Linked DNA regions of Macaca mulatta. The protein of the gene in region 1 interacts with the protein of each later gene in a biochemical or structural test. Links are inferred from orthologs where the notes say so. Each region holds a gene or a part of one and is shown in the gene's direction. Other genes may lie near its edges.

Region 1 (4,112 bases):
GATGCTGGGCAAGTCACTCACTCCCTCTGGGCCTCATTTTTCCCAATAACATGAAGAAATTGAATTAAGTGACCTGTGAGGTCAGTCCTGCCTCAATCTATGAGCTTTTGATTTTTCACTTCTCTGCCTCACGTATAATACCTGGCAATAAGTATCTATTGATTCCTACAGGCTAGGTCTTGAACAAAAAGAGAGGCTGGGCGCAGTGGCTCATACCTGTAATCCCAACACTTTGAGGGACTGAGGCAGGAGAATCACTTGAGCCTAGAAATTCAAGACCAACCTGGACAACACAGTGGGACTCCGTCTCTACAAAAATTTTAAAAAATTAGCTGGGTGTGGTGGTGCACACCCGTAGTCCCAGCTACTTGGGAGACTGAAGTGGGAAGACAGCTCGAGCCCAGGAGGTTGAGGCTGTAGTGAGCTGTGATTGCGCCATTGCACCCCAGCGTGGGTGACAGAGCGAGGCTCTGTCTCAAAAAAAAAAGACGGAGAACAAAGAGGCTGGGAGGCCCCGGTGGGTGGACCGCTTCAGCCCAGGAGTTCGAGACCAGACTGGCCAATATGGTGAAACCATGTCTCTACCAAATACACACACACAAAACAAAAACAAAAATTAACTGGGTGTCGTGGCATGCACCTGTAGTCTCAGCTGGAGGCTGAGGTGGGAGGACTGTTTGAGCCCGGGAGGCGGAGGTCGCAGTGAGCTGAGATCGTCACTGCACTCCAGCCTGGGCAACAGAGCGAGGCTCTGTCTCAAAACAAACACATAAAAAACAACTAGTGCCTTCTGTTTTAATGAGTGCTGTGATTTCTGATATGTTTATGAGAAAATATTTTCTTAGATCACGGTATGTTCTAGGTAAGATGAGGCAAATAGCCGAATAAAACAGAGGCTCTTTGCGCACACAGGTCAGAACAAGACACTAAAGCATCAGGCGATTATAGTACTGTCTTGGAAGGATTGACTCCCTCACTTTTCACTTCCGCTTTCCGAAGCAGCCAATGAGTACTCAGCAGTTCGCATTTATCCAAAAAAACTACAAATCCAGAAGTCAATGCGCGGGGCGAAGAGCTCATGCGTCAATTGGGACTGGTGGGCCCGCCCCTAGACGCGGAACTTCATTTCCCAGGCGTCCCCGGGGCTCTTCGATTTTCCTCGGATCGTGCAGGCGTTCTCCTCCCGCCCCTTGCTCACTGTCCTCGCGCCAAGTAGGCGCGCGCGCCCGCGCGCGCGGTGCACGTAGCGCGCGAGTGACGCATAATATGTGGGCCGCTGTGGAGCCGTGGTCGCGCTGTGTGTGTATGTGAGTGAAGAGTGAGTGCGGGACCTGAGGCTGTGTGTGTGAACTGTGGCCACTGGCGGGGTCGCGGGGGGGCAGTGGCGGAGCCGCCTCGGACGGTGAGTGGGAAATGGAGGGAGGCGACTCTACGGGAGGGGCGCGAGGAGGCAGGGCGCGTGGCTGGCCGGGCGGCAGAGTGGGCGCCGGGCTGGGGGAGGGGCGGCACCTGCTTGGGCCGCCGGCGAGGAGGGGGCGGGCCGGTCAGCCGGGAGGCTGGGCCCGGGGCCTGACAGGACTTTTCCTCCTCCTGATTCTTGTCCCGGGGGCGGGGCCTCCACGTTCTTCCTCCACTCCCCACGAGAAGCTTCCCGAGAGTAACTCTTCCGCCCGGAGTGGGGGGGCGGGGTGTGTCAGCCCCTACCTGGAGGGAGGGGCGCATGTCATATCCCTTGTCATCTTTTCCCTTCCAATCTTTCTAGTCTCTGTTCCGTACGGGCTTGGGGGGGCTCCATCTTCCGTACTATACGGCGGGCCCCTTCACGGACTGTGTCTCCGCCTCCAGCTCCAGTCACCTGGGCGGGCTCTCCAGTCTCTCGGCCTCGTGCCACCTCTCCCTGCACCCGCCCGGCTCTTGGACCTTGCGACGGGGGCGGAGCTTTCTGGTCACTCCTCTCATCCCCATGAAGAAGGGAAGGGTTGGAAAGAGGTGTGCGGGTCCCGCAGCCTGGAGTCAAACCTCAGAGTGCCCGCCAAACTTCCCGGGAGTCTGTTTCCGGGGGTTATAGTAGTTTTCAACTGGGGTTTCAGAAGCGTTTGCTTCACAACTTCACTTCCTAGACGGTTTTCTGTCTGGCTTCCTCTTACTGCAGTGGCAGCGCTCTGGTTTTCCATTTGTTGAGGAAATAGTTTTGGAGTGTTTGTATTAGTTATTTTTGAGTCAGAAATGACTTGTCCTTGGCCACGTCATGTTGGTCTCAGTTTTTCCTTACCCTGTTTTTTCGATGAAGCCTTTTAATTAGTCTTTACACGTTTTAATTTTTTATGTTAGTAGCATCTTCCTGTTCAAAATGCATTGTTAATGTACAGAATGAGAGGTTAATTGGTAATATCCTTCATTTTCTTTTTCCAGCTTACTGGAGTTTACCTTTAATGTTTATGTGTGTAAATGTAGACTTTAGGAATCGATTTAGTATTTTTCTTAATGATGTGAACATTTGGGTTTTCTATATAGCAGTTATTCATTACCCATTTTTGAGTAGGTATATATTTTTGGATGTTGAGATAATAGAGAATTTGGGGAATGTAGGGAAATCATTTTTTGCTCAGTACCTCTTGGGTAGTTGCTGAGTACAGTGTTTTACTGTTCTGCCTATTATACAGTTTTTAAATTTTTTATTTTTATTCATTTATTTTTTGTAGAGACAGTAGTCTTACTGTGTTGCCCAGGCTGGTCTGGAACTCAAGTGATCCTCCCTTGTCAACCTCCCAAAGTGTTGGAATTACAGGCACGAGCCACTACACCTGGACTGTTTTTTTTTTAGATACAGGATCTTGCTCTGTAGCCTAGGCTGGAGTGCAGTGGTGTGATCATAACCCTTTTTTTTTTTTTTTTGAGACAGAGTCTCGCTCTGTCACCCAGGCTGGAGTGCAGTGATGCGATCTCGGCTCACTGCAAGCTCCGCCTCCTAGGTTCACGCCATTCTCCTGCCTCAGTCTCCTGAGTAGCTGAGATTACAGACGCCTGACATCACGCCCGGCTAATTTTTTGTAGAGACAGGGTTTCAGTGTGTTAGCCAGGATGGTCTCGAGTGTGATCATAACTCATTGCAGCCTCTAACTCCTGGACTCAAAGGAGCCTGCTGCCTCAGCCTCCTGAGTAACTAGGACTGCAGGCACAGTCTACCATGATTGGGTAATTTTTAAATTTTTGTGTAGACTGTGTCTCGAAATGTTGCCCAACTGACCTCAAGTAATCCTCCCGACTTGGCCTCCCAAAGTGTTGGGATTACAGGCTTGAGCCACTGTGCCTGGCAAGTTTTTAATTTTTTTTTTTTTTTTGAGACGGAGTCTTGCCCTGTTGCCCAGGCTGGAGTGCAGTGGCATGATCTCCGCTCACTGCAACCTCCGCCTCCCGGGTTCAAGTGATTCTCATGCCTCAGCCTCTGGAGTAGCTAGGGATTACAGGTGTGTGCTACCACGCCTGGCTAATTTTTTTATTTTTAGTAGAGATGCGGATTTGCCATTTTGGCCAGTCTGGTCTTGAACTTTGGCCTCAAGTAATCCACCCACTTCAGTCTCCCAAAGTGCTAGGATTACAGGCATGAGCCATTGTGCCCGGCAAACAATTGTTAATATTATGCCATATTTTTTCTGTTTTTGTGTGTGGTATCTATATATTTATTTTGTGGACTACGCTAGCAGACACTTGTTAGGATAAGGAAATTTTACATAAGTATTTCTTGAGGCTTTGTATTATCCCACCATGGGGACAATATTGTCATTTAACCCCGCACAACAACTGTTTCCATCTTACAGATAAGGAAATTGAGATTTGGAGAAGTTAAATAACCAAGACTTCACAGGTATGTCAGCAGAATTGGGATTTGAATCCTTGAAATACTTTTTCTACCTAGTACTAGCTGGTCTTGGGGACCTCTCGGAGCTTGTTTCCTCATGTGTAAAAAAGGGTAGGATGGTTGTGAAAATTCAGAATAATGTAAGTATAGTAAATTACTTACTCAATGTCTGTTCCATACTAGATATTCACTAATTGGTAACTATCGTGTCACCATTGGACAGACCATCATTTCTTCATAGCACTTAAATAAC
Region 2 (4,103 bases), on another chromosome or scaffold:
AGGCTGGTCTCAAACTCCTGTGCTCAAGCAATAAGCCCCTGTAGGCTTCCCAAAGTGCTGGGATTACAGGCGTGAGCCACCGAGCTGGGCCAGGCCCAGAGTATTGTCATGATGTAAAAATCTCTCTCTAGAAAAGAGAACACCAGCTTCCCATCTGGTCTTCTGTAGCCAGGAAATGCAAGAGCAGCAGTTGAATTTGAGATTTTCTTTGGAGAAAGAACCAAAAGGAGATATGGATGGTTTGGATGTAAGGGAAGGAAAGAGAATCCTAAGCATATTAGTAGTGGTGGGGAGGAGGTGCTGTACAGTGGTGTCATTTGGAGGACAAATCATTGGGGTTTAACCTCTGTGACTCGAAAGTCTCCCACAAGCCTGATACATTAGGCAAAATGTTTGTGCTAAGCCTTAGTTTATTGTCATAAAATAGGCCATGAAAATTGCGTGAGATAATGTATGTAACAGTTCAACAAATACTATTGGCAGGGCATCGTGGCTCACGCCTGTAATCCCAGCACTTCGGGAGGCCGAGGTGGGCAGATCATCTGAGGTCAGGAGTTTGAGACCAGACTGGCCAACATGGTGAAACCCTGTCTCTACTAAAAAATACAAAACTCAGCCGGCGTGCGCCTGTAATCTCAGCTACTGGGGAGGCTGAGGCACGAGAATCACTTGAATTGGGGAGGCAGAGGTTGCAGTCAGCCAAGATCACACCACTGCACTCCAGCCTGGGTGACAGAGCGAGACTGTCTCAAAAACAAAACACACACAAAAAATATAATAGTATTTGTTTGTTTCTGTTTTTGAGACGCCTCGGATTACAGTGCTGGGATTACAGACGTGAGCCGTCAAGCCCGGACAATACTATTATATTGTTCATTGCACTCCAACAACACCCTTAAGGGCCAGGTACTTTTTTTCCCTCCTATCCCCAGAGACAGGGTCTCGCTCTGTCGCCCAGGCTGGAGTGCAATGGCGCGATCAAAGCTCACTACAGCTCCAACCTTCTGGCCTCAAGCGATCCTCCCGCCTGAGCCTCCCAAAGCGCTAGGATTACAGGCGTGGGCCACCGCGGCCGGCCAGTCTTTTCGTCTTGCAGCTGAGCCTGGAGAGCCTTTCCAAAGGGCAGAGGTGGGTCGAGGGCATGAATGAATAGGCCCGCGGGCACCGTTGCACGCCCCACCTCCTCCCAGGGGCATTGCACTCCAGCCCCTCCCGCACATGCGCACTGGGCCTTCCACCGCCCCCCGCCCCCCGCCCCCAGCAAAGCCCCCCGCTCGGAGCATGCGCGGGCCGCTTGGCGCCAATTGCTGACCGCCACAGCCAGGGCCAGCCTCGCAGGTTCCCGGGTGGTGCGCGTTCGCTGCCTCGGCTCCGGGATGATCGGCCAGAAGACGCTCTACTCCTTCTTCTCCCCTAGCCCCGCCAGGAAGCGACGCGCCCCCAGCCCCGAGCCGGCCGTCCTGGGGACTGGCGTGGCGGCCGTGCCTGAGGAGAACAGAGATGCGGCGGTGAGGCGCGGCGTGGGGCCGGGACTTGGGGGGGTAAAGAGGGAGGAAGGCGGTGGGTCCCGCCTGACTGAGGGCGTGCAGCAGCGCGCCTCTTAACTCGGTAAACCGGGGCCCCGCTTTCCAAATAGCCTCCACGTGTTCAAAACAGCCGCCGCTGTCCCCCATGGGCCGCCATGCTGAGGGATCAGCCAATGGGGACGCGCCTCGGCGCCCATGGTGCCAATCCGCGCGCCGCAGGCCCGCCTGGCTCGGTGCGCTGTCCAGTCAGAGGGGAGAGGGGGCGGGACCCCAGAGGGAGTTTTTTTGCCGCGAAAAGGCCACGTGGGGCTGTGGGGGGCGGGTCTGGCGGGGCGGGGCACCTCGGTACTGGGTCCGCAGTCTCCTTGATGCTCCGCGGGGCCGCTTCCCAGCCCCACTCCCCGCTCCGGTTTAGAATCTAATTCCCAATTCCCGGACTGGGCCCAGTCCTGGGCTCCTATTGTCCGATTTTGCTGCGACCTGCTCCACTAATGGGCGTCTTCTGCCTTGGGCCGTGGGGGTTGGGCCAGAAGCTGCGGACTCCTGGGAAGCGGCCTCTGCAGCTCTTGAGCCGCCTCTGCGGGGACCCCTTGCAGGCCAACCCCCCCAAGAAGGCCCCGGCCGCGCAGGAGGAGCCCGGGACGCCGCCCTCCTCGCCGCTGAGTGCTGAGCAGTTGGACCGGATCCAGAGGAACAAGGCCGCGGCCCTGCTCAGACTTGCGGCCCGCAACGTGCCCGTGGGCTTTGGGGAGAGCTGGAAGAAGCACCTCAGCGGGGAGTTCGGAAAACCGTATTTTATCAAGGTAAATATGGAAATGCATCTTCCATAAGGGTAAATGTGGAGGCTTCCGGCCCTTTGTCTTGTTACTGCGGCCGGCGAAGTTCATGTTTCCATAGGCTTAGGTTGTACTCCCTTCAACGTCCTTTACTCACAAAGGGGGTAAAAGAAAGCCATGATGTTTCAGTCTGCACCTTTATATTGGTTAAAGTTGCTAACGACCCGTGAGATGGTATCATGGATTCATTTAAGTCACATAGTCTATTGTCCAGGAAAGGCTGGCATAGTAAAACCACCAACCATCCTGAATGAAACCTGGCTTGAACTTTAAAAAGCCGGGAGGAGTGGCACTGTTAGGACCCAGCCCAGAAAAAAAGGCAGGGAATTGGCCTGATTGAACCACTTGGGGGAGCGGGGGGCAGGCAGGCACTGTTTTTGTTGGTGATGGTTTTTTTTTGTTTTTTTATTTTTGAGACGGAGTCTCGCTCTGTCACCCAGGCTGGAGTACAGTGGCCTGATCTCAGCTCACTGCAAGCTCCGCCTCCCGGGTTTACGCCATTCTCCTGCCTCAGCCTCCCGAGTAGCTGGGACTACAGGCGCCCGCCACCTCGCCCGGCTAATTTTTTGTATTTTTAGTAGAGATGGGGTTTCACCGTGTTAGCCCGGATGGTCTTGATCTCCTGACCTCGTGATCCGCTCGTCTCGGCCTCGCAAAGTGCTGGGATTACAGGCTTGAGCCACCGCGCCCGGCCTTGTTGGTTGTTTTTTTAAAAGAATTTGGACATAAAACACGACAAAGAACTAATGATGTTCCAAATAACTTGCACTAGAAGCTTTCTTGTTTAATTCTTATGGCCTCCAGTGAGAATCTGATTTTAAGTCTAGTTTATCTTTAAATCAGCTAATGGGATTTGTTGCAGAAGAAAGAAAGCATTACACTGTTTATCCACCCTCACACCAAGTCTTCACCTGGACCCAGATGTGTGACATAAGAGATGTAAGTACAACTTGATGATTTTTATTGGGGAGAAGGAGTCAACTAGTATTTTTAAATTAGGGACACTGGAGTTAAGCCACAGTCCATCATTCAGTAGTAAATAAAACACTGAAATTGTGAGGTTTGGCTGACTGTGTTTCAGCCTGTATTTACTCTTTTTAATGTTTACCACATGCTATTTATGCGGCAAAAAGGAGAACTATGTACATCCTGTGCTCTTATTTCTTGTATTTTTTTTAAATCCTGAAACTAACCTCCCTCAGTGTTAGATACTATGGTGGTGATGAAGTTCAGACTGACACACAAAGCAGTTAAATCTTTTGCAGCTTGTTATAGTCAACCCCACCTTGACCTGACCACACTGCCTTATAGTTAGCACTTTCAAGCTCTTGATTTTCTGGCCTGAATAGTTTTGTGGTTCTGTTAACAGATCCCTTTGCTTTAGTTTGTCTTATATAACAGTTGCTGGTTGGCAGCTCTTGTCCATCTCATGTTCAAAAGTCCGTGGGGCTGGGCACAGTGGCTCATGCCTGTAATCCCAGCACTTTGGGAGGCCAAAGTGGGAGGATCATTTGAGGTCAGGAGTTCAAGACCAGCCTGGCCAATGAAACCTGGTGTCTCCTAAAATACCAAAATTAGCCAGGCATGGTGGCGCATGCCTGTAATCCCAGCTACTTGGGAGGCTGAGGTGGGAGAATCGCGTGAGCCCAGAAGGCGGAGGTTGCAGTGAGCCGAGATCATACCACTGCACTCCAGCCTAGGGGACAGAGGCAGACCCTGTCTCAAAAAACAAAAACAAAAA
Region 3 (4,229 bases), on another chromosome or scaffold:
GCCTGGGCGACAGAGCGAGCCTCCGTCTCAAAAAAAAAAAAAAAAAAAAAAAAGAAGAAGAAGAAGGAGAAAAGAAAGAAAGAAAAAGAAAGAAGGAAAGAAAAAATAGATGCTGTGGGTATTCAGAGCTGCCAGAGTGCTAGCTCAGCCCAGCACTTCAAGTAGTAGAATAAAGGAAGAGAGAGCATCCCAGGCCTTACCATCCCCATCCAACTCCCTCAGAGTGGTCCTAAGATTGCGGTGGGGGTGGGGCTTTGTTGAAGAGGTTAAAAACAGAGATTAGTCAGATCCAATCCTGCTCCCACTCTATGGAGGAAACAGATTCGAATGCATAGTCACAGCCCAGGCTCTGGGATTGAGACACATAGATGGGATTGGAGAGACAGAGAGAGAGGTTCTGGTGGCTCTGGAAGCCTAGAGAACAAGAGCATTTACGCAGAGATCTGAGAAGTGAATAAGAAAGGCAGAACGTACAGCTTGGGCAAGGAGGCTTGCTGGCACGAAAACGCAAGATGTGCTCAGGCAGCTCTGATTTTCCAGGACATCAGACAAAAGGTAAAAAACGGAGGCGGGAGACGCGCCTAGACAAGGTATTGAATACCGGCCCGAGGAACTTGGGTTTCATCCAAAGAGCAAGGCAACTGAGCTCAACACAGTGACTCCGTCTCCACAAAAATTCTTTAAAAAACTGGCCGGGCCTAGCGGCGCGAGCCTATAATCCCAGCTATTTCTGCAGACTGAGGCCTGAGGATCGTTTGAGCCCGGGGAGGTCCAGGCGGCAGTGAGCCAAGATCGCGCCACTGCACTCCAGCATGGGGAACAGAGCGAGACCCTGTCTTTAAAAAGGCAAAAAAAAAAAGAAAGAAAAAGAAAAAGAGAGACAGCAGGGCAAGCCGCTCCCTTCTCTGGGCCTTGGCATAAATCAAACACAAATAAAAGTCTCACTCCCTCCTCCGGCCGCGCAAAGGCGCGGGGAGCCAGCCTGCCAGCCAGCGGAACCATGGCCTGGTAACCCAAAACCTGCACACCCTCCCGCTCCCCACATGACGTCACGTATTACCACTTACGCACGCGCAGAAACCATCCCCGGGACCCACCAAAGGTCAGGCTTAGCGTCCTCCCCATATCGCCCCTCATTGGCTAGAAACAACTGCTCGTCCCGGTCGTTGTTAGCAGCGACGAAGGCGGGTTCAATCTTGGTCGCTAGGACACGGCTGACTTCCGCTTTTCTTCCCCCTCCCCTAGGCTCAAACTAGTCAAATCTCGTTCACTCGACCAATGGCAAATGGGAAGTGGGCGGGACTTCACTAGTCCGGACCAAAGAAACGCGGGTTTAGGCCGGCGTAGCGCGGCCAATGGCCGTGGAGCAGCCCCTGTAAACTGGTTCGGGCGCCCCCACGCGTGCTTTTCCTCCTCCTCCCAGCTCTGCCCCCCCGTTTCAGCAGAGCGCTGGCCGCAGTCTGACAGGAACGGGACAGAGCCAAGATGGCGGCGGCCGACGGCGACGACTCGCTGTACCCCATCGCTGTGCTCATAGACGAACTCCGCAACGAGGACGTTCAGGTACGGAGGCTACGGGGGACTTGGGGAAGACGGGGAGGGGTACCTGGGGGCATGGGCAGCCCTCGCGGAGAAGACTCAGCGTTCGCTGGGAGTGGCGGAAGGGGCGGCGGCCAATCAACGTGCGTCTCTTATCTCCCCGGGTGCCCGGACTCATTGAGACGGCGCCCTCGATTGGGTGTTGGCCCAGTGAAGGGCGGGGGCCTGCGCTAGCCTCGAGGGTCCCGGGCCTGCTCAGTGCGCGCGGCGGTCCGCGGTCCGCGATCCGCGGTCCTGGGAGGTTGCGGCCAGGGCTGGGGTCGGCGGACTGGGTCCGGGAGAGAGGAGGGCTCCGTGATTGGCGGCGGCCTCTGAATGGCCCCTTGGAGATGTGGGGCGCTCGTGACTTGCTCCGAGTGGGGGAGAGCCGCCTGATGGGTCAGGACCTGGGAAGGTTTTTTTCTTTTCTGGGTTTCGACTGCTGGCCCAAGTGGGGACCGAGAGGCGAAGGCCTGCCATCCCAATTCCTGCTCTTTCTCCACGTCTCATTTTGGTTTAGGTGTCCTGAGAGGACGGGGACGCAAAAACACCCCCCCCCCCACCAAAGGTGGGGACTAGCCAAATTGAAGAACGAATTACGTTGTAGAAACCCGCTTCCCCATCTCCCCAGATCCTCCCATTGATCAGGATAGGGGGTGAAGGATTTGCTAAGTGGATGAACATTTCATTCTTTCTTTCTTTGAGACAGCCCCTGTGTCGCCCAGGCTGGGGTGCAGTGGCGCGATCTTGGCTCAGTGCAACCTCTGCGTCCCGGGTTCAAACGATCCTCGCATCTCAGCCCCCTAAGTAGCTCAGATTACCGGCGCGAGCCACCATGCCCATCTAATTTTTGTGTTTTTAGTAGAGACGGGTTTCGCCATGTTGGCCAGGCTTGGTCTGGAACTCCTGACCTCAAGCGATCCACCCGCCTCGGCCTCCCAAAGTGTTGGAATTACAGGCGTGAGCCACGGCGCCCAGCCCGGATGAACATTCCTGGTTATGGGATGCGGTGGCCCAAGGCTCTGAGCAGGGCTGCCACCCGCTGTGTGACCTTGTGCAAATTACTTCACCGCTTTGGGCCTCCGTGTTCCATAAAATATGGGCTAATTGTAGTCCTGGTCTTGCTGGAGGGACTTGTGAGGGACTGAACGAATTATGGCACAAATAAAAAGTCGAATGGTGTCAGACCTGTTGTAAGGGCCTGATACATATTAACTGTGATTATTGGGAGTGGTGATTAAAGAGGTCCTATCCTCCCTTTAGGTCTCAGTTTTCGCATTTATAAAATTGAACAAGGTGCACTGGGTAACCTGCCAAACGTGGGTCCCGCCTCCTAGGTTCCTGGTATATCACTGTTTCTGGGGGCAGACCGGCTGTGGTTGTATTCCTGGCCCTTCCACTTCTCACTGATTGACATGCGCAAGTTAGTTAATCTCTCTAAGCCTATTTCCTCTTCTCTTTTATGGGGATAATTACCTAGTTCGTAGGGCAGTTGTATGAATTCTTTTGTTCAGTAAACACGTGCCATGTATCAGGTATGATGCTGGGGATATAGTGGAGACACCAGTTGCTATACAGGATTCAGGTGTGAAACAGGTCAACAGAGTGTGTGAAAAGTGATGGGAAGGAAACAAACAGGATGTTGTGGCAGTGAATCCATATTGAATTGGCCTTCTATTCTGTGCAGGTCACTGTTATAAGCACTGGCATGCAGTAGGGGAGTTTACTTTGCAGTGAGGAGAGATAATAAACAGAGTATACTGGAGATAAGCAGTAGGGAGATAAATAAAAATAAGAGAGATGGGGGATGCAGGGGTTTTTTTTGTTTGTTTTTGAGACGGAGTTTCACTCTTGTTGCCCAGGCTGGAGTGCAGTGGCGTGATCTTGTCTCACTGCAACCTCTGCCTCCCGGGTTCAAACGATTCTCCTGCCTCGGCCTCCCAAGTAGCTGGGATTACAGGCATGTGCCACCACTCCCAACTAATTTTGTATTTTTAGTAGAGATGGGGTTTCTCCGTGTTGGTCAGGCTGGTCTCAAATTCCCGACCTCAGGTAATCCACCCACCTTGACCTCCCAAAGTGCTGGGATTACAGGCATGTAATCCCACTGTGCCCGGCCTGGGGGATGCAGTTTTAAAGTGTGGTGAGGGGAGGCCTTGTTGAGATCAAGTTTGAGAACACACCTAAAGGCAGAGGGCACAGCAAGTACAAAGTGGGGTGGGGCAGATCCATTTTAAGTAGGCCAATCAGGCAAGGCCCCTCTGAGGATGCAGAATTTAAGAAGAGATGGAAAGAAGGTGGGAAAGAGCTGCCCAGGAAGAGGGAACAGATATGGCCATAGTTTTTTGTTGTTGTTGTTTTGTTTTGTTTTTTGAGATGGAGTCTCACTCTGTTGCCCAGGCTGGAGTGCACTGACGTGATCTCGGCTCACTGCAACCTCTGTCTCCCGGGTTCAAGCAATTCTCCCACCTCAGTCTCCTGAGTAGCTGGGACTACAGGCCCAGGCCACCACCCCTGGCTAATTTTTGGGTGTGTGTTTTTAGAAGAGACTGGGTTTCCCCGTGTTGGCCAGGCTGGTCTCAGACTCCTGATCTCAGGTGATCCTCCTGCCTCAGCCTCCCACAGTGCTGGAATTACAGGTGTGAGCCACT
Region 4 (4,336 bases), on another chromosome or scaffold:
GCCAAGGTGGGCAGATCACCTGAGGTCGAAGTTCGAGACCAGCCTGGCCAACATGGTAAAACCCCGTTCCTACTAAAAATACAAAAATTAGCCGGGCGTGGTGGTGGTGGGGGGCGCCTGTAATCCCAGCTACTGGGGAGGTTGAGGCAGGATAATCGCTTGGACCTGGGAGGCGGAGGTTGCAGTGAGCCGAGACAGCCCCATTGCACTCCAGCCTGGGCAACAAGAGCAAAACTGTCTCAAAACGAAAAACAAAAGAAAAAACACAGTAAATTGTCTCTATTTGACTACTAAGAGCTATTTTAAAATAGAATTTATCTAAGTACAGTAAGGTATAATTATCCCCCTACACCCGTTATAACCCTTGATGACACTAAATAAATAATACACGAATATGGTTCAAAAATGGGCATCGTAGAGTATAAAATGAAGAATGCTTTCATTTTCCACCCAAATTCAGCAATTTCATAGGATGCCAGGCTCCATTCTAAAGCCTTGTATGTATTCAGTGCGCTGAAATTCAACAACCTCACGAGGTAGGTATAACCATTAATATTAATTCTAGGCGGGGCGTGGTGGCTCACGCCTGTAATCCCAGCACTTCGGGAGGCCGAGGCGGGCGGATCACCTGAGGTGGGTAGTTCGAGACCAACCTGACGAACATGGAGAAACCCCGTCTCTACTAAAAATACAAAATTAGCCGGGCGTGGTGGCGCATGCCTGTTATCCCAGCTACTCGGGAGGCTGGCGCAGGAAAACCCGGGAGGCGGAGGTTGCAGTGAGCCGAGATCGCGCCATTGCACTCCAGCCTGGGCAACAACAACGAAACTCCGTCCCCCACCACTCCCCCCCAAAACATAATGATTCTAAAGGGAAGCAGAGGGATCTGGCGGAAAAGTGCCAGCAAATCTAACAGGCCTCCACAAGAGTCTTGAAAGTTTGAGAAGCTTAGGGGTCGCTATATGTGATTAACTGTCAAACAAGAATATTCGCCGGGTGTCCGAAACGCGATCCCCTGGGGCGCCACACTCGGAGCCTACTTGAACCCAAAGAGTCCCTCCCTGGGCCAACGAGGGACCCAATTCCCGCGCCCGGCACCCAGCCTCTACGTGGTTTCCTAGGAAAGGATAGCGGAGGTCCGCCGCCTCAACCAGTCTTGTTAGAGTGGCACAAAAGCGTTCGGAGTGACTGCCACTGTAGCCACTCAACGCCGAGCCCAGGCCTGCTTTTTTGCGGTTAGAGTGAAACTTTCCATTGGTGGAGTCACCCTGAAGGAGGCGGGACGGAGGGGGAAAGTCCTGCCTACCTTGGTCTTCCCAGCCAATCGCAGCATCCAGGTCGCAGAACCCAGGCGGTAGCCTCCGGTTCGGTTGCGCTGTGCGTAGTGGTCTGGGAGACCTGAGGGCGGGGCCGGGAGCAGGCCCCGGACTGCGGGGAGGGTACGCTTCCCGCGGGCGCGCGGAGTGAGGACGGTGACAGCCACGCGCGCGCATACGCGCCCGACTGCAGCGCGGCCCCGCGACCCTAGTCGGCAGCTGAGAGGCGCGCAGAATCTGGGCCGCTGCCGACTAGGGTTCCCGTCCCGAGGCGTCCCCGGCATCTCCGGCCTGAATCCCGGAGTGCCAGGTCGCGCCTGCACCGACGGTCCCGGCTCCCGTGCCCTCCCAGGAGCCGTCAGGGCCCGCCCCTCAACTCCCCTTTCCGCCCGGGCAGGGTCCTCGCGGCCCATGCTGGCCGCTGGGGACCCGCGCAGCCCAGACCGTTCCCGGGCCGGCCAGCCGGCCACCATGGTGGCCCTGAGGCCTGTGCAGCAACTCCAGGGGGGCTAAAGGGCTCAGAGTGCAGGCCTTGGGGCGCGAGGGTCCCGGGCCTGAGCCCCGAGCCATGGCTGGGGCCATCGCTTCCCGCATGAGCTTCAGCTCTCTTAAGAGGAAGCAACCCAAGACGTTCACCGTGCGGATCGTCACCATGGACGCCGAGATGGAGTTCAATTGCGAGGTAACCGGCCGGCAGCCCCGACTGCTGCGGTGACAGTCGAGGTGGAAACTCGAGAGGTTCTCTTTATATCATCTTAATGGGTGTAGCTAGAGACGGGCAGAACCGGAAGGGGCCAACTAGGCCCAAAACCTCATGTTAAAGATGATTGCTGCTTTTTTTCATAGGGCTTTTGGGTTTTAGCATTTCCTGAAGGTTATTTTCATTCATTGTTATTGGAAGAAGCTGGATGCTCCTGTGATAGAAAATTCCGGATTTCAGTGTCAGGCTTAAGTTAGGCTTACGCTTAAACGCTTGAAAGTTTATTCTTTCATTAGGTAATATTGTTATGTACCCAGGTATTAGAAGTTGCGTCTTGTTTATTGGAAAGCCAATACTTGTTTTCCTTTTCTAAAGCCTACATATTCTGGAAAAAAACCCTTTGAAGAACGATATAATATCTCATACTTACTTTCCACATAGTTTCCAACATGATGATTAACAGCTATCAATTGTTCAGTATTTTCAAAGTGCCAGACATTTGCACATTTAATCCTCAGAACAAACCCATTTATCTAGTAAATGGCAAGGTGGGGTTTTGAACTAAGCTCACAGCCAGTACAGTACTGCTTCTCAAGTAATTTAAGTTCTTGCTACTAAAGGTGTGGTTTGTGGACCAGCAGCATTGGCAGCAGTAACCAAGAGTTGGCAAGCTTTTTCTGTACAGGACCACATAGTAAATATTTTCAACTTTGTAGACTAGAGAATCTCTGTTGGAGCTATTCAGCTCTTCAGCTCTGTCATTGTAACACAAAAGCAGCCTTAGATAATATCAGCTTCCAGCTTGACAGCTTAAGGAACCCATTCCTCTGTAAAACTGGTGAAAATTCTTTTTTGTTTTGTTTCATTTTGAGACAGAGTCTCACTCTGCCACCCAGGCTGGCATGCAGTAGTGTGATCATGGCTCACTGCAACCCCCACCGACCTCTGTGGCTCAATCAGTCCTCCTGCCTTGGCCTCCTGAGTAACTGGGACCACAGGTGTGTGCACCACACCTGGCTAATTTTTTTTATTTTTTTTGAGACGTCTCGCTCTGTCACCCAGAGTGCACCGGGCTGGAGTGCAATGGCGCGATCTCGGCTCACTGCCAACTCCACCTCCCAGGTTCAAGCAGTTCTCTTGCTTCAGCCTTCCAGGTAGCTGGGATTACAGGCATGTGCCATCACGTCTGGCTAATTTTTCTATTTTTAGTAGAGACAGGGTTTCAACATATTGGGCAGGCTGATCTCGAACTCCTGACCTCATGACCAGCCCACCTGGGCCTCCCAAAGTGGTGGGAAAGTGGTGCTATTATAGGTGTGAGCCACCGCGCCCAGCCTCACCTAGCTAATTTTTGTAGAGACAAGGATTTTGCCATGTTGCCTAGGCTGATCTTGAACTCCTGACCTAAAGCAATCTGCTGGCCTTGGACTCCCAAAGTGATGGGATTACAGACGGAGCCACCATGTCTGGCCCAAAAATTCTTTTTTTAAAATCAACTATTTAAACCCTCCGGCAATGGTCCTGAGGGCAAACAACAAATGAAACACCTATTCAAGAAAATCTACAAATTCGGTAAGAAAGATGAGAGGATATGGTATTTGAACCAAGATCATTCCCTCCTTACCCACTCCTAGCTTAGTGAGGTAGAGCTTCTACTCCAGACTATTGCAAACTGAAACACGGGGCACCGCTCCCTCAGCTCCCAAATCAAATGCTTTCTTCCCAGGAAAAGCTGGACATCAGCATTTCTTATCATACCCAGAGCTACTTGTTGCTGAGGTTAAAACCTGTGTGAGTGCAATTGAAAGTTGGAGCTCCCTTTTTTTTTTCTTTTGAGACGGAGTTTTGCTCTTGTTGCCCAGGCTGGAGTGCAATGGTACGATCTCGCCTCACCGCAACCTCCGCCTCCCAGGTTCAAGCGATTCTCCCACCTTAGCCTCCCGAGTAGCTGGGATTGTAGGCTTGCCCCACCACGTCTGGCTGATTTTGTGTTTTTAGTAGAGATGGGTTTCTCCATGTTGGTCAGGCTGGTCTTGAACTCCTGACCTCAGGTGATCTGCCTGCCTCGGCCTCCCAAAGTGTTGGGATTACAGGCGTGAGCCACCGTGCTTGGCTAAAGTTGGAGCTCCCTTCTTCCACCTAGTCCCTACTTGTGGAACAGGATTGTACCTTGGGCATGGCATACTGAAACTACTGGCGCCCCAATTGCTCATCCACCAGTTCTAGCAGGCTGAGCCTCAGGTTGTTGCGGTCCCCTGCCTCCTTCCACCAAGTGCTCAGTTTCTAGAGTGCGGGTATCTCTCAGAAGCTTTCCATGCTC

The links. The genes of interacting proteins can lie anywhere in the genome.
Region 2: of the proteins of DCAF1 (region 1) and UNG, one has a biochemical effect on the other in vitro, tested with the Homo sapiens proteins (2 studies listed by BioGRID, with this or other methods). The link is inferred for Macaca mulatta from reciprocal best matches to the Homo sapiens genes DCAF1 and UNG.
Region 3: of the proteins of DCAF1 (region 1) and PPP2R1A, one has a biochemical effect on the other in vitro, tested with the Homo sapiens proteins (2 studies listed by BioGRID, with this or other methods). The link is inferred for Macaca mulatta from reciprocal best matches to the Homo sapiens genes DCAF1 and PPP2R1A.
Region 4: the proteins of DCAF1 (region 1) and NF2 form a complex in vitro, tested with the Homo sapiens proteins (3 studies listed by BioGRID, with this or other methods). The link is inferred for Macaca mulatta from reciprocal best matches to the Homo sapiens genes DCAF1 and NF2.

The regions. Positions count from the first base shown.
Region 1 is NC_133407.1:114,967,480-114,971,591, reverse strand, and holds the start of DCAF1 (DDB1- and CUL4-associated factor 1), read left to right. Parts: upstream 1-1,261; 5' UTR 1,262-1,402; intron 1,403-3,818; 5' UTR 3,819-3,865; intron 3,866-4,112. UniProt on the Homo sapiens protein: Acts both as a substrate recognition component of E3 ubiquitin-protein ligase complexes and as an atypical serine/threonine-protein kinase, playing key roles in various processes such as cell cycle, telomerase regulation and histone modification.
Region 2 is NC_133416.1:116,230,279-116,234,381, forward strand, and holds the start of UNG (uracil-DNA glycosylase), read left to right. Parts: upstream 1-1,284; 5' UTR 1,285-1,376; coding exon 1,377-1,508; intron 1,509-1,829; exon of another isoform or gene 1,830-2,017; coding exon of another isoform or gene 2,018-2,122; coding exon 2,123-2,329; intron 2,330-3,205; coding exon 3,206-3,301; intron 3,302-4,103. UniProt on the Homo sapiens protein: Uracil-DNA glycosylase that hydrolyzes the N-glycosidic bond between uracil and deoxyribose in single- and double-stranded DNA (ssDNA and dsDNA) to release a free uracil residue and form an abasic (apurinic/apyrimidinic; AP) site.
Region 3 is NC_133424.1:64,384,428-64,388,656, forward strand, and holds the start of PPP2R1A (serine/threonine-protein phosphatase 2A 65 kDa regulatory subunit A alpha isoform), read left to right. Parts: upstream 1-1,410; 5' UTR 1,411-1,485; coding exon 1,486-1,563; intron 1,564-1,575; exon of another isoform or gene 1,576-3,676; intron 3,677-4,229. UniProt on the Homo sapiens protein: The PR65 subunit of protein phosphatase 2A serves as a scaffolding molecule to coordinate the assembly of the catalytic subunit and a variable regulatory B subunit.
Region 4 is NC_133415.1:21,951,958-21,956,293, reverse strand, and holds the start of NF2 (merlin), read left to right. Parts: upstream 1-1,517; 5' UTR 1,518-1,884; coding exon 1,885-1,998; intron 1,999-4,336. UniProt on the Homo sapiens protein: Probable regulator of the Hippo/SWH (Sav/Wts/Hpo) signaling pathway, a signaling pathway that plays a pivotal role in tumor suppression by restricting proliferation and promoting apoptosis.